Linked DNA regions of Tamandua tetradactyla. The protein of the gene in region 2 interacts with the protein of the main gene of each other region in a pairwise test. Links are inferred from orthologs where the notes say so. Each region holds a gene or a part of one and is shown on either strand. Other genes may lie near its edges. The genes, in order: KIAA0408, SORBS3 and TBC1D22B.

Region 1 (7,893 bases), on a different chromosome or scaffold from region 2:
CAAAAGAGGGAATCTGCAAACATTTTAAAATATGAATGTGGTTTGAGCTGAGGGTCATTTCAACATCTGCCTGTGTTTGTGTCTGGACTTAAAAACATGGGGCGGGGTGCATAACGGATTGCGCTGATCTGAGGGAAAAAGTGGATTTCCCAACGCTGGACTGGCAGAGCCTGTGTTTGCAAACACTGCCTTTCAGTAGTTTCAACAACTGCACACCAAGAGGCTTCACTATATTTCTTAGAATCCTGTTTTTATGAGGATGATGACTTTTATGGTGTGCAAAGTAAATTTCACAATCCGAGAGATCGCTGATATTTGAAAATTGCAGTGAAAATAGAATTTCATCCAAGGTAATGTTTTTTTCACTGCATATTAGGTGTTTCAGTAATTTGAGTTGCAGTCTCTGCATAATGGGCTAATCTTCTGCAGGTAAGAGGGAGTCTTGCCACTACATCTTCTCTTGCTTTAGCTGGTTACTCATTAATTTGAGCCATTTGTTTTCCTGCCAATAATTTCCTTCCAAGTGTTTATTTTATAAGCTAAGAGAAGTAAAATGAGTTTACCTATTGCTTGGGTATTTTCTCATTGGAGTAAATAAATGGAGAGGAAAGTCAGGAAAGGAAAAGATTAAATGAGAAGGCAAAGTTGATTTCTTTGGAATTGCGTGTGGTAGTGTCTCTTTGGCTTTGTCTGAAACAGGCAGAACATGCTGAAATAGCAATAAATAGCAGTAAAAATATTTCCTATTACCCAGGAACAAAATCATATGGTTGTCTCTAGAAGAATGCATTTGTCTGTGGACAATATGGCAGGAATAAGGTCCGATATTAGATGAGATGGTGCAAGTCATTTGTAATAGTCTGGAGAAATGGCTAAGGGGTTTTGGTAGCAAAAGGTGCATTACTTGGACAGGTGTAGGCATGGAAATAGCTGATGCCTCAAAGTTAACTAGAAACAAAGCGTTTCCAGGGAAATGATTCTTCTTAGAGTTGTGATAGTGGCAGTACCCACTGGGAGTGGCGTTGGAATATGCAACCTCATATATATAATTGAAAAATCTTCATGGATGTGTTAAGAAAAAAGAAATAGGAGAGCAAAGAACACATATTCTGAACAAAAGTCTCAGAAGAGAGAAGTAGCTACTAGAAAATTTCCCTCATATGGATTTGTCTGATTGGCAGTTTTCAGTGGGGAAAAAGTGGGGTTGACCTGGTCATAACAAGATTGGAGCTTCCCTCAAGTAAAAGAGACCAACCTAAGCTAATTTGGTGAGTGGAAATAATTTCTTGTGAGAACCCTGTCTTACTTAGAAAGTTTGCTTTCTAGTAGGGCCAGAAGGTGAGATGAACTATTTCCTTCCCACCTCCAGACTTAGCCAGGCCACCCTCCAGTTCTGGATAAAGGGAATCAGAAATGCCAGTGGAGAGCTGTCCGGTAGGAAGGACGCGTGTGACTAAGTCACGCAGCTCGCCCTGTCCTTTCCCCTGGGCGCTAACAAATGTTAACTCTGAAGGGAATTCGGGAAGGACTGCAGTGCAATAGAGAATCAAAGAGACACGGGGGAGGGCGGCGGATCGCAGAAATCCTTCCTTCTCTCCCACGTAGATGCCGATATCTGTGGGAGAAAAAGGCTGACAATGAGGAACAAAGAGAACTTTCATATTTGCCTGGGTAGAGAGCACTGGGTTTGCGTTTCCGCGTGTGGTGAACCGCTTTACCCCATAACTTCTCGTTCCAGAACATTCTGTCCCTACAAAACTGACCCTTCATTTTTTTTTAATACTTAAGTGTTAGCGTTCTGACGAAAGCAGTTTTATGCAAGATTTGTTTATTCACATTTTTGCTAACAATTAAAAATATTTCCTAATATGTATCCTTAAAACGCTTGAAGAATACTGAGGGCAGAGGAAAACTGCTGATAATAAAAGAAATTTCCACATAGTTGGACTTGTTCTATAAGTTGACTGATTAAATAAAGATAAAAATCATGAAGGTGAAAAGAAACAAAAAATGCGGAGAGGTAGAAGAAGGAAGGCAGGAGTGAGGAGGGTCAGGAAGAAAGCAGGGGTGGAGGAGAAAGAGGAGAAATGGGCGTTTGTGGAGCACTCGCTGTGGGCCGCAGTGGTGGCAGGCATCACCTCTCTTCCTCATCCTCACGAGCCTGCAGCCCTCACATGATGTCTAGATGGAGAAGCAGTATCGTCAAGACGTTATGTTTGATGGTTTTGACAGGGCAGAGATGCAAAAAGGCCACATAAATTCTGCTGTGAAAAAACTGGTACAGATTTTGCCCTTGAGTGTTTATTTTTCAAGGGCTTGTCTTTGATCTGTCACCATCGTATTTCCTGGCACTAGAACTTGCTCGGGCCCTGGGGCGCAGGAAGTGATGGGTTTGGCTCCTTGCCAGGATGCGCGGGGCTCAGTCTGCCTGCCCAGGAGCGTCCCCTGGTGCAGGTGCGGCCCGGCACCCAGAGCAAGCCTTCAGGTCGGTGAAGGGAGAAGGGGCTGACACTCTCGTAACTGGTGTGGAAGTGCTTCAAGGAGAGTTAGGAATAGAAAGGAAAATCGGAGCCATTTGCGACATTAATGTAGAGGAAACTTAATGATGCTCTCTGAATATTGCCAGTGTTTAGAGACAGTGGGCTAAACAAGGTTACCGTAGCCTCTCTTTTCCAGATTGTTTGAAATTGTTCTGCTCCTATTTTATAATGTCCGTGGTTAAACCTGCAGTTTAACCATACATACAAAAATTCTGTATGTTCTTTGTTTTGATGGGTCCTTGACGACAGATTGATTTTGGGGTGACTGTGCACTTGCTGGAGTAGATACTTAGTCACTGCCCGTAGGTGTGGAGGGCACAAAAAAGAAGTAGAAGTGGTAGAAGAGATGGAGAATGGGGTTAGAAATAGGAAATGGTGAGGTGGATAAAATGAGACATGGTAGCACGTTTAATGGCTAAATCCGAAATGACTCATTTTTCACGACTGAATTAGTCATAATATTGCAAGTGCCAAGACAATAAGTAAAAATTATCTATTCAAAATTACCAGCTCATCATGTAATACTGAGAAGGCCCAGTTGACAAACCTCCCCTTACCAGAGCCAGACAAATTTCTGGTGCCATACTTTGAGAGAATAATAGCAATATACATCACAGTATAGCTACGGTGCTTTTGGAGGTGAAGCCCTAAATACCTGACTAACGTTTGTTTTCTTATTATATATTATAATTCATTGATAGATTGCAGATCAAAAGTATATGTTCAGACGGGTTTGCCCCTCATGTATAGTCAGAACAGTCTTACAAAAGTAAAATTAGTCTTCAGTTTTTATCTTAACTTAGGGTATGACACATTCAGCCATCATCTGTAACTATAGAAATGGCCTGGTTATGTAGGTTTAATTCTACAATGCCAGCACTCAGGAAGCTTTTGACTCTTAGGAACTTTGCTCATAATTAGCATGAGCTACAACGTGATAATGTAAGGCAATTCGGTACTGACCTAATAAACTGAAAAGTTACACTGCTTATGGGCATGATTATTTTAGATGGAGAGTCATGCATGTTAAATATGCTTTTCTGCCCATTAAAAAGCTATCTGACTTTATTAATCACAAATTATTTTCAATTAAAGCAAGAGCAAACATTTTAAATGCAAAATTGGGGAAATTTTAAAATATTTTATAAACTACGTTGTATTCAACATGTCATTTAATCTTTAAATCAAGCCTGTGAAAATTCTTATGTTAATGTGAATAAACTGAAGCTCAGAAATTTTAGGTAACTTTAAATGGAGACGCAGATCTAATATATTAAACCATATCTTAAAACCCTAAATGCACATACCCCAAATATGTAATCAAATTATTATTATCACTGCTTATTATCAAGGAGTAAAATGAGTAAAAGATTTTCTTCAATTCTCTGCATTCTAATGTCCTAAACAGTTTATTAAACAGTTTATGATATATGGTCTATGAAAAGGGAAAGAGAGCTAGATAAATTTTAGCTTAACGCACAGCATAGTTTTGATGTTTTCCAATTTTATTTGGTGAAGTGACATAATTAAAATATATTTGTATAATTTGATCTCTTGGTGACACATCTGTTCAAGGTCGACTACCAACATAGTCTTAATTGATGCGGTATCACATTTGACAAGGTCTCTGAATGTAGAATTGACACTCTAGTTCAGCACTGGCTTAGGAATTTAGTCACAGAAACATATAATCAGATTGCCTAAAACAGTAATTAGATTGCAGCAGAATCTGCCACTGTTGTGTAGATGCAGCGTGGAGTTGAACTTGATACGTCCCCTCTTACATATTCATGAAAAATAAAGACAATCTTTAGAATAGTTGGTTAGGTAAAGGAAAACTTAGAACTCACACCTGCGTGCAACCATGACGCCCAGTATAATTTTGCTGTCTGGTCTCAGAAACAAAGGGGAAAGGAAAACTTTGGACAGTCTTTCTTTATGGACTGTATTAGGTTTTTGTTCTTAAGCAGATTGTTGTCATCTATTTCTTTTCTTTTGAGTCCAGTTTTCCTATAGTTTATTTTAATGGCTCTTGCAATTTGATAAACTGTTTCCAGAAAGCACATGGATTTGGAACTTTCTCTTATTATGTTTATATTAGGCTTTATTTTAAGACAAGCGAGATTGCTTCAAATAAAACACCTCCAAGCTTCCAAGAAACAGTTAAGAGAAGGCAGAGACGAGCTGAAACACCTCTTTGCTGACCCGCGGTTGCCATGGACCTGCATAAGCAGTGGGAGAACACAGAGACCAACTGGCACAAAGAGAAGATGGAATTACTGGACCAGTTTGACAATGAAAGGAAGGAATGGGAAAGTCAATGGAAGATCATGCAGAAGAAGATAGAAGAGGTACGAGCTGATTTGTTTTGAATATATTGCAAAATTCCAGCTCAGATGCAAATTCTGTTAAGCTTTCTCTTGAATTGGAAACATTTTTATTGTCCTTATCCATTCTGACAGATGCATGTCTCAGTGACATTTACTAGATCAGAAATAGCACAGCCTTAGTCAGTGGTATCTGAGCACCTGGGCTCATTTCATAGCCCTGGATGGAAATTAGGAGCTTAAAATGTCACTCTAAAATGTGTCCGTTTATTAGTTTATGGCCAGAGAGCCTGGGTATCAGAAGTGAGATAGGTATTTTGCGTGAGTTCTAAAACACCAGGGCCCATGAGGAAAACTCAAGAAAGTAAGACGTAACTACTGGGACATGTATCAGCAAAACTGCAATTGGGCATTATAATATAGATCTTTCTTTTCCTGAGATCATTTATAAATAATGTCTACTAAGGGAAATTACATGCTAGACAACTCAGTATATGTTTTTTAAAAGACTGTTATATGTCAAACATAAAATGGCACTGGAAAAGGTGTTGCTACATTTATTAAGAAGGGGATCATAAAAAATATCATACCATGCCTGACACAGTCATTGCATCTCCTTTAACCATTCCTCAGCCTGTCGGGACTGGTATGTTTCTTTCAAGGGTTTGCATTAGTGTATATTCAGGTTTACTCCAACTGAAAACTGTTTATACATTCTTCTGGTAACATCCATAGTATTGACTTCTGTGAGATTATGCACATTATTAAAGTGGTTATTTTAACAGACTCATGGGCCTTTATTCGCAGGCAATCAAAACAAGCACTTTACGTGTTCATAGCACAAACTTTTTTCTTACTAGCAACCACATAATTGGTTGTGATTAAAATATAAATCGGCATGATAAAAGGAAAGAGACAATAGCCAATGGACCTTCCACTAAAATAGAACTAAGAAGGCAGGCAACTAGTGCATAATTAGAGATTGAAGGGCAAAGAAATGTAATTTCTTTGCTTGGAGTAATCCACAATTTATCACTCTGTAGTTTGCAAAATGTGTTGAGCTTGCTTCCTTAATTCCTCTACCCAGAGACTCAAATTGTATTAGCAACAATATGCATAGGTCAAATCAGAATCCAAAAGTCCAATTCAGTCACAAACTGACTTATAATTATGGCCTCAAAAGGCATGAAAGGTCCAGTTAGTAACATCTCAAGATACTCCTAGCATCCAAACAAAATAATTAAGGAAAGCAGGATTGGTCTAGACAATTAATACCATTAGCTTAAAAATCTGGTGTCTGGTTAAATTTGTTATTGTCAAATAGCAAATTATTCTGACAACTCTGTAGATTCCATCTAAGGTAAGTATTAGCCTTATCAATTAGTTGGCATTAAACACACTTAAACATAGGATTGTGGTTCCTATAGATACTGTTCTTTTAAGGACTCCATATTTTTGCATCAGGGAGACAGAATTGTTGTAATGATAAAATATCTTATTCCTCTTGGAGGTTGCTATAGTGCTGTATTCATGCCTTTGCTGCCTGATGATATCTGTGGAATAATCTCCATAGCTGGGGCTAGAATGTATTGAGACAATGTGCTTACCCAGGATGCCCCTAGACAAAGTTCTATAACTGCTGAATACCTGCACTATGCTCCCCCTTTACCATTTGTGTGTGGACATATACAAACACACATGCATATAATATGTATGAAATATTTATAATAAATTTCAAAACATGTATAAAAGATGCCTTCTTATTGGCTGCAAAACTGGGGATAGAAAGACTGAAGAAAACAGGAGGAAAGCATTTTCATTTGTCTCAGAGAGAATCAAAGCAATTCTTAAAGACGAAAATTAAGAAATCAATACTTGGAAAAATTTTATTATGCCATAAGCACAACATACTGAGTTTATATAACATTTACCACTGACTTCTGAGGATTAAATTTTTAAGCCATGTCTTAGGGAATTATAGATTCCCCAATACAGAGTTGTAATGTCAGTGATTTCAAATGATCCTGTTGTCTGCTGAGAGTGTGCATTGATATGTATTAAGACTCTGACTTTCTATCAGCAACTCTTCACACTTGATTGTGAATTCCTTTTGCATTTGTTACTGCAAAACCAAAATGTACACACTTGGATCATTTGAACCCTGGAATAATCCAGACAGAAACTCTGGAATAGAGTTCATTGACATCTGGAAACCTTTCATTGCATTGCACTCATTCTTGCTTCTCTCCTTTACCGGAATGATCAGATAACCATTGACAAGGGCTGAGCACTAGGCCATGGAGATTTCCTTATGCAAAATAAATTGTCTTCCATCAGTCATATTATGTTGTTCATTTATTTGCACCTCATTCAAGTCCCAAAAAAGGGTTTAAGATGGCATACAAAATTGCACATAAGGCAAAGAATGCCAAAACAAAAATGAAGGCAAGGAAGGATAATGTGTGAAATCTATGTGATGAGTGTAAGCTTTCTAGGGCCTAACTCAAAAATTGTCTGATATCTATGTTTCAATATCTAGAAGACAGAAACAAATCTATTTCCCAGGAAAACCAGGTTTCTCTCATTTTTAAACTGAAGCAATTTTGTTTTATTCCATGCTTCATGAAAAAGAGGACAATGCCACCAGTAGCATCCTTAGGTTGAACACATTTTTTAGGACTGCTTCTTATAATACCCTTCAAGGTCTGCAAAGTCATAATGCCCAAAACAATTCAGTAAAAATTATTTTAGGGGCCAAAACATTTGATTCAAGGTTGCTGTTTGAAGGTATCCTGGCTTAATTCATAGATTCATTGAGTATTGAGAGAAACAAGTGGACTGCAAGTCTTGCAGACATCAACTTTACATAGAGCTTCACTCAACTGAGATTTGGGTAAATACTGAACAGCAGTAAGTCTGTTATTATATTCCTTATACAATATCAGTAATGTAGATCTTGGTTGTCTTTGTAAAATGGTAGAGCCATTTGCTTCAATGGTCTGTTGAAATTTGACACACTTCCCCAA
Region 2 (8,111 bases):
CCACAGTGCCTTTGCAGCATCACTATGTTCAGAACACTCATAGGAAAGCCTTAAGAAAGAGCAAATGTGTCTTGAGGAAGAAATCTGTACAGTAGAAAAACAGGGTTTTACTTAAGTGAAAGCAGAGACCAATGCTAACAATAGAGCTTTGTGCCATTGACAGAGTGTGAAAGAGAGAACCTATATTACATTGAGACTTGTGACATGGCCTGCCAACAGAAGTGAATGAGGTCAGTGTTCGCTGCTTTCATCTACACAGCCACAAAGGTAAAGGTAACACTGCAGAGTATATTCCCTCCAAGGAGACCTTGACCTCATGTCTCAGCAAGCTTGACAAGACTCACTAAATACCACCTTTGTCTGAGACAGTTATGACCAGTCTTAGCATCTTCTCCTCTTCTATAACCCCATGACAAATCTAGGTGGCTTAAAATCAAGAAACAAGGACATGCATGTGGACCATCCCTCCAAGCAGCTCTAAAGTAGGGCCATTCACATTGCCCTCCTATATGCCCTTACCAAAATTCCCTTGACATAGCTGTCCTCAAAATAACTTTTTTTTTTTGCATGTTGAAGTGAAGGAGGTAATGTACCATAGATTTTTAAGTTTGAATAATAAAGATGTGGAGTTTTGTCAAAGTATCTTTTTAAGATGCCATCATGAACATCTCACTTGTCCTTTTTCAGTGTACTATAACCAACAGCTATTTTTCCTAATAGAAATGTCAGCAGTCATTTCCAATGAAAAGATCCTGGTTTTGCATCCTATTTGAGGTGGTCAGACACATGATACTAGCTGGCAGTGTAATTATTTTTAGGTTCTTATGAATTACGGAATATATACTTATTCTTAGAGATTACATGCTTTTTTCATGCTTTCAGTTATGTTAAAGAGATGGTGGAAATGTTATTTTGGCAGAAATCATTTAATTAGTCTTTCTTGAGAATAAGAAATGAATTTGTTCGAACTTTCTTACTGTAAATTGGAAATCATCTTAAAGATAAAAAAAAAAGAAAACTCTCTTAAAATTAAACTATACCTTCATTGACTCCCTGTTTTCTTTATTTCCTGATGAAGGCACTTATATTTGGCTCTTACCTATTTAATAATTCTAGAAGTCGAGGGAAAGCTTGGTGTTTAGTGTCTGGTCTGGTCGCTGACAATGCCAAGGAATTCCCCTCTTAAGAGATGGAATTCCATCATAATAAAAAATACCTATTTCTTTCTCTCTTATCCTTTATTTTTAAATTGGCTTTGATAACTGTAGAGGTATTTCTATTTCTCTTCACTCAGAATTCATTCCGGGGCCCTTGGCTGCCTTCCTGGCATTTTGCCATAAGTAACTCATGCTCAAATCCAAGCTCCTTCTGTGGCTTCTCCAGCAGAGGCCGCAACTTTAAAAAAGGGAAGAAAGGCTCCCAGAAGACTGTTTTTACGAAACTGAAAAAAAAGTCTTTTATTGTAGTAAGTTAATTACTCTGCCTGTGATCCTAATAATAGACATGGATGAATTCCCACTCAGGAGAAGCTGAAGAAGGCAGAGAGGAGTTGAGTGTTAAGTCAGACTCCAAGAAAAAGAAGCATCAGAACCAGCCCTGTGATTCATCTGAAAAGTAGAAACATCAGGTGCTGGGGAGTCAAGAGGAAAAATAACCTCCTCTGGGCAAGTGGGTAATTGAGGATAGGGAAAGTGCCTAGCAGCCTGAAAGGAAAATGCATCAGTGAGGAAGTTCTACACGTTATGGCAGAGGAGGTAGAAAGTCTAAATCCAGAAAGTCAAACCCAAGTTCAGAATTTTTTACTTTAAACATACCACATTGAGGGCCACAGTGCAGTTCACAGCCCATAAAACAAGTCCAGATTTCTAATCTCAGATAAGCTGGGTATACATTTTGAGTTCTTTGTTATTCCAATAGCATCATGCCTTAGCGTTATCCTTATATTTCAGCTAAACCTTCAGCAAAATAGGAATATTATATGTGCCCTTATTTCCAGAATTGACAACCAGGTCCTAAAACTTTTTTAAAAGCCTGGTAATTAAGGATCCAAATGCAAAATTGTATTTAATTCTTGCTATATCAAGATCTAATCCCCATTTCTTGGGCTGCTAAATGTAATTACATGGTTTTATATTTTTTATCAAAATTTCCAGATTTTAGAAAGAATATCTATTTAATTCTGATGCAGGGAATTAAGAATTTAACAGTAAATTAGATGGTCTTTTTTTTAATGTTGATGCAGTTAAGGAGAAGGTTCATCATAAAATCGGAGGTGGAAAGACAAGGTTATTCTTTGTTCAGAGGCCAGAATTCTACCTCAAGTGTACACTGGCCAACAAATCATCCCTCTTATCTTACTTAGCTTAGCTTAACTGAGCTAGGAAAGATGGTTGATGCATACCTAATTTTCCAACTCCTGGTTCTGTGCTCTTCTTTGTGGTTGAGCTGACTTGGCTGGGTTTTTCCTCTGAGGTCATCACTCATTTATCCTTCCCCTATAAAATCTAGTCTCTAAAGAGCTGACAGACACTTCTCTTTCCATCTTTCCTGAGAACTAAAAGAAGTTCACACAGCTCAGTTCTTCTCAAAGACACCTCATCTGTGCATTGTGCTTGTTTGCCCAACTGGAAAAGAGGAAGAGAGAGAATAATTGTTATGTCAGTGTAAAACCTTCCTTGAGGATAGACTAGATAAACTGGGCAAAAGGCTGAGTTCTCACGCAGCCTCTAGGATTTGGATTTTGTTGGTTCCAAGAACCTTGAATAGATGCCCGTTCCATCATGTGTATGCTATGGAAAGATTTGTACAAAGGCAGGTCTGAAAGCCTCATTCTAATCCTTTGGGGATCCCCTCAGTCGTTCTGGCTTCCAGGGCCCACCATTGACCATACCTGACCTGTATTAATCTCATATATTTCTCACTCTCAAATATCCCTCATTTTACAGTGACTACAACAAAAATCTTGGATTTCAGATGAACAAGACATGGGAATAGGCCATCTACATCATGCCATTGTCCATTTAGGAGGGCCTTTTAAGCCCCAAAGAGGGTCATTTACTCTTTCCTCCTCTGCTTGCTCTTGTTCCCATGAGTGGCTGGTACAGATAAGGGCAATCAGTAGAACCTGGCTGGGAACACATGCAGGTGCTGGAATCAGGAGAGGACCCAGGAGAAAGGGATGGCGTTCAGGGGATGAAACAGCCCAGATTTTTGCTGGTGTGTGTATGACTGGTCTTCAGTTCCTCACTGCTGTGTCACTGTCAGCTTCCCCAATAGAGAAGTCCAAACTCGTCGAAAGGGACAGTGCTTTCTTTCCTAATCCATTCTGATCTGCTTGCTCAGTTCCCTTGGCAGGAAGAAAACACTCCTGAGAGTACAAATAAAAAACCAGCTCAAAGTCTACCTGAAAATTCATCCCTGAGAAAAAAAGGAACAATAGATGCCTTTCCTTTATCTAATGTAGGGGGACTGAGGCACAAAGCTGAGGAGGCACTTAGCTGTTTAGGGTAGATCACAGCAGTGTGTCTGGTGTGAATACCAAACTCCCAGGCCCAGATAAAGACACTCCTCAAGAAGGAGTCCATATTTATGTCTTCTGGGATCCCTGGCTTCCCTTTCCCCACTTAAGAAATGTAACAGTTCTCTGCTGGACCCTATTTACCTAGCCTTCCTTTATAATAAAAAACTACTGAAGTCCACTTTCCGTTCAACCTTCCTGTTGGTGACAGGTTAGTTTTCAGTGTGACCTGCATTCCTGCATGAAAAGCCACCTTCTTCCCTTTTGTGTGAAGTCCCACATTAATTGGTAGTCTCTTGACTAATCATCCCTTAGGGTGGTTGGAATGGACAGACCTCTGCTGACATGGGTGCTATTAAGGGATAATCCACAGAACTAAAGGTGGTAGCCTCCAGGAGTGGAGAGGGGGGCCTAAGATACTGGTGATTGGGATCTGACAGCTAGGAAAAACAGCAATTATGTAACTATGTTTACTATGGCTGAGGTGGCTCTGAGAAGGCAGAGGCAGTCCCCTGACAAAAGATAGTGCCAGTGCTCCTTTTATCTACCGTACTGCTCCTTTTATCTACATTATGACAGACGAGTAAAACCTATGGAATAAAAGTAAATAATAGGGGGAACAAATGTTAAAATAAATTTAGTAGATTGAAGTGCTTGTGATCAGTGAAAGGGAGGGGTAAGGGGTATGGTATGTATGAAATTTTTTCTGTTTTCTCTTTATTTCTTTTTCTGAATTGAGGCAAATGTTCTAAGAAATGATCATGATGATGAATATACAACTGTGTGATGATATTGTGAATTACTGATTATTTATGTAGAATGGAATGATCACATGTTAAGAATGTTTGTTTGTTATGTTTTTTAAAAATTAAAAAAAAAAAAGTGGCAGAGGTGGGGAGGAGGCAAGCTCAGGGAAGGAGGTCCCTGCATAAGGGAGTCATGCAGAGGACACACTGCTTTTGGATTAAAGGAATCTGTTCTGCTGTTGACAACAGCCATGTTATCTAGGACAGTCTCCTCTATCCTCAGCCTCTCCCTAAAAAGATGCCAACTGGGAAGTCAGGCCAGCAACAAATAGCACGAAGACAGAGGGAGGAGTTGAGAAATCAGACACCTGGTTTTGGGCTGTCTCTGAACCTTGCTACTCTTTTTTCCCCCTTCATCTCCCACTTTTCAAAGAGTAGGGATTCTTTTCCCTAAACATAGGCAGAACAGGAGGAAGTAGTCAAGGTTCCTTGTTTTTTTTCCTGCCCTATGCGCTCACCAATCCCTCATCCTCTCTTCTATGAGGTCAGATGGGCACCACGGAACACAACAGACAGTCCCCATTATAGGCCCTCCTTTGTCCAAGCAGATAGTCTAAGGTGCTGGGAAGGAAAATGATTTTAGCTGGTGCTAGGGCAAAGCATGTTCTGACCTGAGAGAAAAAGCCATAAGCCCGGCAGAATCAGCACCTAAGAAGACAGGCAGAAGTCAGAGCAGCTTAGGGAAAACCTCAGGTCTCCATCAGGGCCTGCCCCTCCTCCTCCTACGAAGCCGTATACTCCATATTTCCATAGCGATGAAACTGGTAGGCAGTTCCCAGCTACTTGCTGATGGCTGCCACCTCCCTTTGTGACAAACAGGAAGTTGGGACCTTTGTCAGCTCAGCTGCAACCTCTAGGTTAAATATTTATCTTGGAGCCCAGGTCAGAGCCCTAGAGAATAAGGGAAGCTTGCTGCTAGTGAGAAAGGGTATGGCCAGGATTCCTGGAGTCATAGGATCTTCAGCTTCACTGTCTTTGGAAAACAAGGAGGAAAATGAAAGTGATGTGGCCTTTCCTAGTGCCAAGGATCCTAACAGGTGGGAAAAATTGGTGACTAGAGAAATGGGCACATACATTGTCCCTAGGGAGAGAAAAAATGGTCCCTAGGGGTGGGTAAGTACTCAAGCTTTAGGAAAGGGAGGGATGCTCCACTTCCTGCCCTTAAGTTTCCTGAGCTCCTACCTTCCTTTCTGTAGCTGTCTTCTATTATGAGTGGCTCTCAAATCCATCCCCTTCCCTTCATCTTTCCTAAAGAATCATACATTCTTACAAGGAAACAGTTTCCTTCAGCCCCCTGCTCAGTGCAATAATTGCCTTGACAAAAACAATCCACAATTGGCAGACTTGGAACACTTACAGTTATTAAAGAACACTATCTTGGAAGGCTTGGATTGCTTTCCCTATAATTTGTACCCAATGGTCCCACTTCTGTTAGCAGAAGTTGCACTCCCACATAGTGTACTTCCATAGAATGCAAACATTGCTGCAGTCCCACAGACATTGGAAGTCAGCCTGCACGCCCTGTCTCTCAAGCTTCTCCTTAGCCTAAATATCTCCTTTCATATTTGATCCTGTGTCAAGCCCATCCATTGCAACCAGAGATAATTCTTTTAAATGAAGTGAGAAAAGATAAGTTAAAAGCTAATAACATCAGCGGTGGTAGGGATTTAAAATAGCTTCATTCCCTCTCCCTACTCCCTTCTGAACTTTTGAGTTGAATAATATACTTGAAAAGCCTTCTGAGGACACTGATCTTAAAACCCAGTAGGCATGCAATAAATGTCTCCTTACTTTGACACTTTATAACTATCATCCCAAAGAGGGTCTGAAGTTGCTGTTTAGTTAGTTTAGGGCTTAGGATTCCAGAAACAAGCCAAAGGCTAGAAGTATTCCAGTCTGTTTCCATTATCAATGAACACTCATTTAGCACTCTCACTTTCGGCAACAGGCCCTGTGCAGACACAGGACTTGGAGGAAAGGTGGGCAGAGAAGGGAAGGCCACTAGGGTCAGGGAGTCAATGGGCAGGGACTCTTGGAACCCTGGCCAGAGATGTGGGAACAGAGGAAAAGCAGCAAGATCAAAACAAATCCCGTGTATGGGAACAGTCAGATCCTCCAAACCTCATCCCGGCCAGAAGAGACCCCACCCTCATCCTCTTTCGGGAGGCAGCATGCCCTGTGTGCTGCTCGCCTAGGCCAATTTCCTCCAGGGGCTGTCTCCAGGGTACCTGCACGTTTGCGAGCCATGTGTGTGTGCATGTGTGGGGTTTGCACACGTCCGAACGCGCGCTTACGCAAGCACAAAATCTCTTTTTCCTAGTGGGGAGGGAGCCAGCCGGGCCTTAACTCATTCTGCTAAGGACTCCCTGTGGGGCGCCCTCCGCTTATCTCGGTCCCAGCCAGTCTGCATCTCCTGCGGGTCTCCGGCCTCTCGAAGTTGCCGCCTCCCTATCAGTCGTTGGCCGGCCCGGGCTCTGGAGCCCACCGCTCGCTGTCGTTAATCACTTCTGCCCTCTGTCCTGGCTCCGCAGTGCAGCAGCTCCCTTCCCACACTCTGGAAATGTCGCTGGAAACTCTGAGTGGCTCTGGCTGGCTCTCCCGTGTCCCTCCCGACGCCAGCCTTACGGTGGGGGGCCGGGGGGAAGGCAGCTGGGAAACCAGAGCGGGCTCCCCAGGGACCCTCGGGCGGCGCCGCCTCCCGGCCGGCCCGACCTCCCCGGCAAGGGGCCACCAGCGTCCCCGCGGCGCGCCCGGCCCGGCCAGTGCCCCGACGGAGGGCACTCGCACGCCCTCAGCGGCGCGTCCCGGAGCCTCCGCCCCGCGAGGCGGGAGAGAGGGAGTAGCCGGGCCCTCCACCCCACCCCTCGGCAAACAGTTCAGATTGGAAACACTAACTCCGCCGGCCGCCCTCCCTCTTCCCCACTCACGTTCCCTTCCTCCCCGCGCGCGCGCGCTCACTGTCGCCCTCTCCCTCCGGGGGCGCCCAGCCCCCCGCAGCCCCAGCCCGGCCGGGTCACGAGGGCAGGGAGCGCACCTCGGACGTCTCCCCGGCCGCTCGCCGAGGGCCCACAGCGGCCGCGCCTGGCAGGAGCCGGGCCGAGATGCTCCTGCCCGCCCAGGCGTCCTCAGACCCCGCCACCTGTCTGCCCGGGAAGGTAGGTGCCACGGAGGGGAGGGCGGGCTAGGAGGCGGAGGCCGCAGGCGGGGAGGGACTGGGAGGGAACTCTGACCTGTGCCAAACCCGAAGAGGAGGCCGCCGAGCCGCTCCTCGTGGGGTCCCCAGAGGTTCCGCGTCCCAAACTCTGGAAACTTGGGTGGAAAGAGGCCATTAGCTCCCACCCACCCACCCACCGCCCCAAGCCGGAAAAGGAGAAATTTGAGAAAACCTTGTCCTTGTCCACGTGGACTTGTATGTAGCTGAAAAATACCCTGGGAAGAGCACAGGGCCAAGTCGCCAAGGTCAAGGCTGTAGAGATTGGGAGGGAGTTTGCCAACTAAAGCAAAGCTAGCTCATTTCTTCCAATCCTTTGGGGTGGGTTGCCTGGACTGAAGGGCTGGCTGAATTCTGGGAGGACCAGAGATGTCCCAGCACCTTCTGTCCTCTGCCAGAAGCAAGACCAACCCCCTGGGGGCTTCGATCTTCCCTCTGAGAGGCTCTGCATAATGTCTCCTCACAGGACTGCACCTTCCTCGCCTCTAGCCTTGCACAGCTCTGGGAGGTTAGCCAGGTGGGGCAGTGTTGAGGAGGGGAAGATTGGGGCACCAAGGGGAAGACTCAGGTGCAGTGG
Region 3 (8,030 bases), on a different chromosome or scaffold from region 2:
ATGCCCATCAACTGATGAATGGATAAACAAAATGTAGTATATCCATACAACGAAATATTATTCAACTACAGAAGAAATGAAGTATTATACATGCTAAAACATGGATGAACCTTAAAAGTATTAAGCTTAGGAAATGAAGCCAGTCACAAAGGCCACATATTGAATTATTAAATTTATATAAAATGGACAGAATAGGCAAATCCATAGAAACAGAAAATAGATTAGTGGTTACCAGGTGCTGGAAGGAAGGAGTAATGGGAAGTGACTGCTAAGAGGCATGCATTTCTTTCTGCGGTGATGGAAATGTTTTGAAATTAGTGGTGATGGATGCCCAGCACTATGAATACCCTTAAAAAAGCAATGAATTGTACACTGTAAAAGGGTTTTATGGTATGTGAATTTCATCCTATTAAAACTGTTATTTTTTTTTTAATAAAAGAGCATTTATTTCAAACAGAGTCAGGAGGTTATCCTGGAGGTTATTCTTATACATTATATAGATATTCTGTTGTAGTTTATGGTGAACTGGAGTGGCTAGAAGGACCTGAAACTGCTGAGCTGTGTTCCAGTAGCCCTGTTTCTTGAAGACTGTATAACTATATAGCATTTACAACGTGACCATGTGATTGTGAAAACTTTGTGTCTGATGCTCCCTTTATCCAGGATATGGACAGATGAGTAAAAGAATAAGGATAAAAAATATATAAATAATAGGGGGGATAAAGGGTAAAAATTGGGTAGATCAAAATATATTAGTTGTCAATGAGACGGAGGAGTAAGGGCTGTGAGATGAGTTCTTTTTTTCTCCTTTTTATTTCTTTTTCTGGAGTGATGCAAATGTTCTAAATATGATCATGGTGAAGAATACACAATTATATGATATCGTGAGCCCTTGATTGTATAATATGGTTAGACTGTATGTGTGTAAATATTTCTCAATGAAAAAACGAGGCATTTAATTAATTTTGAACCTAGGTTATTTTAACTAAATAAAATTCCTATTGTTGTCATTAAGGTCTCTAGATCCTGATCAAAGAAACTGAAAGTTTCTGAAACTTTCTGAAGTACCCTGCCATCACTTTGATTTTTTACCTTTCAATCTGCAGAGTAAACTAGTCTCACTTCTAGAGTGTCATGATCTTAGCATACAGCCATTTGTTTCATTTCTCCACACAGGAGAAAGGTTTTTTTCACTAAAACTGAAAGAGTACAGATGTAAAGTTCTTAAATCAAAGCACCTTTCTATCTAAAAGAACCTTAATTGTCTACCATAAACAGGGGTGTCTGGGGCTTCCCTGCTAAAAGCTCAGACCTGAACAATGTTTCTCTTCAACAAACAAGGCATCAAAAAATCTTATGAAGTGTGGCAACAATTTAATACCTTAAGAATAAACAATAAACCCTAATACTAGGGTAAGAACTTGAGAAACAAGCTTTTAAGTTTACTTGCTCTAACAGTAACAGCAATTTTAATAATTACTATTTATTAAGCAACTGTAATATGCTATATAAACTCTCTCCTAGATTCTTTACAAATACAGTATTTCATTTAGTCTTCACAATAACTCTGAGGAAGTTACTGTTATCCTCATGTCACAGATAAGAAAACCGAGGTCTAGAGAAATTAAGTATTTGTCCTTGGTGGCACAGGTAAATAAGAGACGAGGTCTTTTTTAAATCAAATGGTCTACTCTATTCCTCTACATTCCTCTTTAAAGTGAAAAAAGAAGTCAGAAACTTGAAGAAATTTAATAAAGACTCTTCTTTCTATCTCACAAAAGCAGTGCTTTCAAAAAGTTGACTGTTCCTATAGTCCAAAAGAGGAAGTGTGGAAAACAAAAGATCATTAATAGCAACCAGCAGTCAGTAGGCACAAAAGACCATGCCATGTCCAAAGCTCATATACTCCTTCCTGATTTAACAGTTTTCCCTTTAATTCTGATTACTATCTGAGGATGTCAAATTTTAATGATCTTACTATGGAAAACCCCAGAGAACAGAAGTTAGCACAACTGGAGAGCTCACCAGATCAGGAAGGAAAAGGAATCAGTTGGCAGGAAGTGGTGCTTATCTAAAAACATCAAAAGTCTTTAGCACTAATATTAACACTGTAATTCCACAGCATTACAATCCGAAGTTATCTTTGCATTATTTTAATAATGTATTACTAAAAGTTGATTCCCATCCTATTCGCTATAGGTCTAACAAGATCCTAATAAAATCAGACTGCTACATAGTCATCACTGGCCCTCATTTCTCTCGTTAAAAAGGCACAAATTCGAAAAAAAGTAGTTTAGAAGGTCTGCTCTCCAACTAAACTGAGGAATGAAAGAATTCAGAATTAGTACGTTTGCACACGAATATTACCACGCAGGGAGGAGGGTGGTCTGTAGGCAATGGACAAAAACCTGAAAAATGCCGGGAAAAAAAAAAAAGCCCCGATTCTAGGGTCACCTTGTAATAATTCCTAATGGAAAAGGGCCGACTTGAGATAAAGTACGGTCGGGTTGGAGGATTTTCCTCACTTTTTTTGTCCCTTACAGGCAGCCCGAGCTCCTACCAGAACCTTTTACGAGTCCAGGAGAAAGATTCAAACGTGTGGAACTGGGAGAATAAGGGAAGGGGCTATCCTCAACGCAAGCAACCACCTGTGCAAGGTGACGACCCCCGGAAGGGAATTCTGTTCAAAGTGGGAAGCAGCCCTGGGATGGTCATCCGAACCCAGGGCCGACACTGGCTATTCATCAAACTCCACTTCCCCTTACACCCGGTCTGCTCTGAGGGCAGGCACCCCCTTGGAGACCTCCGCCCCAAGACCCCTGTCTGCCCCCACACTCAGCCGTTTCCCAACTCCTCTGCCTGACAGCAGACCTGCCTCCCCCCGGCAGCCCCCGCCCCCCTAGAGCGGGTTTCCCCAGCCAGCCTTCCCGGCTCGGGGGCGCCCCAGGCCCGCGGGATTTAGGGCTTAGCATCTGGAGAGGTTTGATCCAATCCCCTCTCCGTTTCAGGGTCCTGGGCTCACCTCCCCGGCAGCTTGGCGCTCCTCTTCCAAAACTGCTTGCTGTTCTCGGCGGCCATGGCTCCAGCCCGGGGAAAGCGCTGTAGGCGGGCCTAGCTGGGGGACCCGGCCAGACGCCCCCAGACCCGGCAACCGGAGGGCCAACCCAGGCCGCTTCCCCGCCGCCGGTCACCCGCACCCAGCGCCAGGGAGCGCCATCTTGGATGTGGGCGCCCCTCCACCCAGCGCCGCTGCCATTGGTGGGCTGCAGAGGCCGTGGACGCACGGACCAATCGGGAGCCCGAATCCTGCATGCCCCTGAAGGCGATCGGCCACGTCATGAGCCGGGCATACAGGTGGACGGGGAAGGCGGAGCGTGAACAGGCAAGAAGGCGGGGCTGAAAGTTGCTACCTCCGGGAAGGGAGGAGAAGCAGGTAAAGAAAGGGACCTATGAGAAAGATGAAGGGTTCCGTTTTCTTAGGGAGAAATTAGGTCTCTCGTGTTTCTGAGTCTTATATATATATATGTTTTTAAGAGAGAGCGTGATCTGTATGTATGTATACATATAAAAAATCTTCGACCTAAAAGTCAAGGACTCATGTGTTGATTATGGCCCATTTTTAACATCTCCCGACTCAGTAACACTGTGATTATTATCTTCCCCTTCCAGGTTCTGTTTGGATCCCGCTTATTTATCTGTAAAGTAGAGTCAGTACGGATCCAATAACTGAGTTAACTGTTCTACACGTGAGTAACGGTTATTTTATCAGTCACCCTGGCCTCTGTTAATTGCACTGTGAAAGGAATTTGTTGTAGATGAAATTCGAATGATTTAATCCCTGTTTCAATCAATAATTCTGATTTTCTGACTATGAGAATCTAGATACTAAAAAACAGTGTTTAGGGAATGTTCTTATTTTATCCATCCAATTCAGACTACCACATACTATTTCTTAAGAGGACATAGTATCCCTCTATAGTGTAAATCACAAAGAATAAGGATGTAACCCCAAACATCCTTAATTTCCCTTTTAGTCTAGTATAAATCATTCACCCTTGAATTTATTTTCAATCTGATTTTGACTTAGAATAAGATTTAATATTATCATTTTGAATCTTTTGAATGTCTTCTTGGTGGTTTTGCTTTTTTTTGAGTTTCCCTGGTTGTATACCATGGGAATATTTACATGATGAAGGGAGGTCCAGAGTAGTTTTTGGAGTATGTATTGGAGTATACTTAACGACCTCCTGTCTAAAGAAGGACCTTCTTTTATATGTTTTCAATGGCCACTTTCTACATAGACTTTATCCCCAATGCCAAGCTTCTTTTGACCCCTAATTTTAGAATTATGGGTTTGTATGAAAAGGGCTATTTTTAGTCTCCTGAATCGTTCATGCTTTTACAGACTTTCATCTTATCTTCTCTCAACTAGCACCTTTATGGGCCTTAAATCCATTAAACAAAACCACCTCTGTCTTTTAAATCACTTTAGCCGCCTTTCTATGGCTCTTTTTCTTAGGATGCCGTGGCCAGCACTGCACAGTGAGCCCCCAAATGGGTGGATTTTTGTTGAAGCTGATGTTATCTCTTTATTCTGGACATCCAGAAACTTTGCTGGCATTTTTGGACTTTAGAAGAGTTAATGTCCTGGTGGAATAATCTACGGCGACTTCTAGATTCCTTTCCTTGGTGGTACCTGGCAGTTCAGAGTTCATAACATTAAATATATCATCTGAATTGTCTTTTCTTACGTACACTGCCTTACACTTGTCCACATGGCAAGACACTTGCCACTTTCCAGCATCCTCACATTGCATTAGAAATGTCCCAGAAGATGTCCCTATTGACTTGACATTTCACTAGGCAGAAAGCAGAATATAATTTGTGTGCCTATGTCTCAAAGTATTTCTTTTTCTTAATCATTTATGAAATGTTAAATAACACTGATTCCCAAGGGATGCTATTAATATTGTTCAACACAAAGAAGCTCTGTTATTCTTACTCTGTTTTCTACATCTGTTCTAGTTTGCTATCTGCCGGAATGCAATATACCAGAAATGGAATGGCTTTTAAAAGGGGAATTTAATAAGTTGCTGGTTTACAGTTCTAAGGCCGGGAAAATGTCCCAATTAAAATAAGTCTATAGAAATGTCCAATCTAAGGCATCCAGGGAGAGATACCTTGGTTCAAGAAGGCTGATGAAGTTCAGGGTTTCTCTCTCAAGTGAGAAGGCACATGACGAACACAGTCAAGGTTTTTCTCTCAGCTGGAAGGGCACATGGCAAACACGGCGTCATGCTAACTTTCTCTCCTGGCTTCCGTTTACATGAAGCTCCCCGGGAGACATTTTCCTTCTTCATCTCCAAAGGTTGCTGGCTTGTTGACTCTCTGCTTCGTGGTGCTGCAGCATTCTCTGCTCTCTCCAAATCTCTCATTCTCCGAAATATTTCCTCTATTATAGGACTCCAGTAAACCAGTCAAGACCCACCCAATGGGTGGAGACATGTCGTTACCTAATCCAGTTTAACAAGCACTCCTGATTTAATCACATCTCCAGGGAGATGATCTGATTACAGTTTCAAACATACAGTATTGAATAGGGACTATTCTGCCTTTACAAAATGGGATTTAGATTAAAACATGGCTTTTCTAGGGGCCATACATCCTTTCAAAGCAGCACATTGTCCGTACACATTTTTGGTTGGGAATTGTTAGAGAAAGCATGTCGCCTAATAGGACGTGTCCATTTTACCAAAGATCCTATAAGCTTGAGTAAACCTTTGGTTGAAGAACCATCTTCCTCTCTTGGGAAACACAATCTTCTTCAAACTCTTTTGCAGCTTCAGAAGAATATACTGGAGTGATATAAGAAGGAGACCACCTACCTACCCAGGACTCAAATCTACACTGTATATCAAAGATTATTTGTTTGTTGTCTGTCTCCATCTCCTGCAGCCAAATTCACACCAAACATTGCCCAGCTAGAGGTGAAAATTACTGGTTTAATGTTCCCAAGGTGTCCTTGGAGCCTTTTTGATGGAAGATTTTTTTTTTTGTATGCTGTGTGGTGGGGGTCACATTTCATTCCTTTTTCAGTGTGAATGTCCCATTATTGCAGCACCATTTGTTGATTTGGGGGGGTGGGGGGTGGGGGAGCACTGCATAAGCCAGAAATCAAATCTGGGTCTCCCGCATGGCGGGCAAGAATTCTACCACTGAACCACACTTGCACTCCCTTGATGGAGGTTCTTAGTGGCAGACATATATGTTCACTAGACCAATGCTTCTCATAATTTAATGTACATACAGATCACCTGGGACCTTATTAAAAGTCTAGTTCTAATTCAGTAGGTCTTGGCTGGAGCCTACAATTCTGCATTTCTCCAGAATTCCCAGATGACACTCATGCTGCTGAACTGTGGCCCTCACTTTGTAGATCTTCTCTTAATAGCTCTGTGATCTTTGAATTTGTCTGAAGTGTTTAATTATTTTGAAACCAAGTCAAGGACTCTCCTTAACCTCATCTTCATTCATAATAAGAATTAAACAACTTAGAATGGAGCAAAGTGGAGTTAAGGGAATGAACTGTGCAGGGTTTGTACTAAAAAGAGGTCGTATTTCCCAACGCTTAGGGAAAGTTTTATGTAAGAGATGGGACATGCAGGAAAAGAAAGAGAACAGCCTGAAGAACAGTAGAGAGGTCATTTCAGAGCAGATGCTCCGTGAGGAAAATAATAAGAGAGAATAAAAGCCTTTAGACTTAATAACAAAGAGTGCTGGTGGACTTTAACCTCAGTAAAAGAATGAAGTGGAAGGATGTAGACACTGTGATGACAGGAAGGGTTAAGAAATTAGGCAAGAAACAGCCCTCATAATGCACTGTAGAATGTTGCACCAACAAAGGAATGGTGAGATCAAGCTGGGATTTAAGGATAAGAGAGCTTTTTTGGTATCTAACCAACTAGAAAAAGCCAAATGAAAGAAATCAGTCATATTGGAGAAGGCAAAGGGATATACGAAAATCTGAAGAAGCAAGAATTTACTGAAATAAAGAAGGGAAGACAGAGTGATTAGAGCTTGGGATGTGGGTGAAAGAAAGATTAGGTACTTTGTTCTTAGGAATTTATTATATTAAGTCAAAAGGAGGGGGGAAAGCTCTGTGCATAAAGAAGTTCTGCACCTTATAACCAATAATAAATAGTGTGTATGTGGGGGGGGGAATATAATATTAAGATTTAAACATGAGGTTGTGGTTATACAAATTATGGTATGTGGTTTATAAATTTGATGAGCATATTGTGCCATGAAAAAGTGTTGAAATAATGAATTGTAACAAATGGAGCACACTAATGCAAGGTGTATATGGGAACTCTATTTTATGCATGATTTTTTTCTTCAAACCTTCAACTTCTCTAATAATTATATTTAAAAATGTTGAAAGCTACGTAGCACGTGGAAAAGGATTATAGTGTGATGTAAAGAGAGGAGACTGCAGAATGCAAAATACCATTGCTTGATTTCAATAAAAATACATTGAAATGTATGGTCAAAGACTGGAAGAAACATGGGAAATTAAGCAATTTTTGTTAGATGGTAGAATTATAGATCTTTTTCTTCTGGAGATTTTCTTTAATACTGCCATAGTTTTTATTATTGTGAAATATATCAGTTATGCAATGAACCAGGGGTTGGCAAGCTTGTTTATAAAGGGCCAGATAGTAAATATTTTAGATTCTGCAGGATATGCAATCTCTGTTGCAAGTCCTTAACTCTGCCATTGTAGCATAAAAACAACCATAGACAATAGGTTAATGAATGAGCATGGCCGTGTTGCAATAAAATGGCATTTATGGACATTGAAATTTGAATTTCATATAATTTTCACATCACAAAATATTGCTCTTCTGTCCATTTTTTTTCAACAATTTTAAAATGTAAAGACCATTCTTAGCTCATGGCCCATATAAAGACAGATGGTGCACCAGATTTTACCCACAGCTGGCAATTTGCCAATCCCTGCAATAAACAAT

Evidence for each region.
Region 1: the proteins of SORBS3 (region 2) and KIAA0408 interact in binary tests that used the Homo sapiens proteins (3 or more experiments, as listed by UniProt). The two-hybrid records come from large-scale screens. The link is inferred for Tamandua tetradactyla from reciprocal best matches to the Homo sapiens genes SORBS3 and KIAA0408.
Region 3: the proteins of SORBS3 (region 2) and TBC1D22B interact in binary tests that used the Homo sapiens proteins (3 or more experiments, as listed by UniProt). The link is inferred for Tamandua tetradactyla from reciprocal best matches to the Homo sapiens genes SORBS3 and TBC1D22B.

Annotation. Positions count from the first base shown.
Region 1 is NC_135331.1:188,751,227-188,759,119, reverse strand, and holds the start of KIAA0408 (uncharacterized protein KIAA0408 homolog), read left to right. Parts: upstream 1-4,756; coding exon 4,757-4,891; intron 4,892-7,893.
Region 2 is NC_135329.1:23,326,916-23,335,026, forward strand, and holds the start of SORBS3 (vinexin), read left to right. Parts: upstream 1-4,707; 5' UTR 4,708-5,112; coding exon 5,113-5,360; intron 5,361-7,310; coding exon 7,311-7,478; intron 7,479-8,111. UniProt on the Homo sapiens protein: Vinexin alpha isoform promotes up-regulation of actin stress fiber formation. Vinexin beta isoform plays a role in cell spreading and enhances the activation of JNK/SAPK in response to EGF stimulation by using its third SH3 domain.
Region 3 is NC_135331.1:94,153,260-94,161,289, reverse strand, and holds the start of TBC1D22B (TBC1 domain family member 22B), read right to left. Parts: upstream 3,230-8,030; 5' UTR 3,079-3,229; coding exon 3,023-3,078; intron 1-3,022. UniProt on the Homo sapiens protein: May act as a GTPase-activating protein for Rab family protein(s).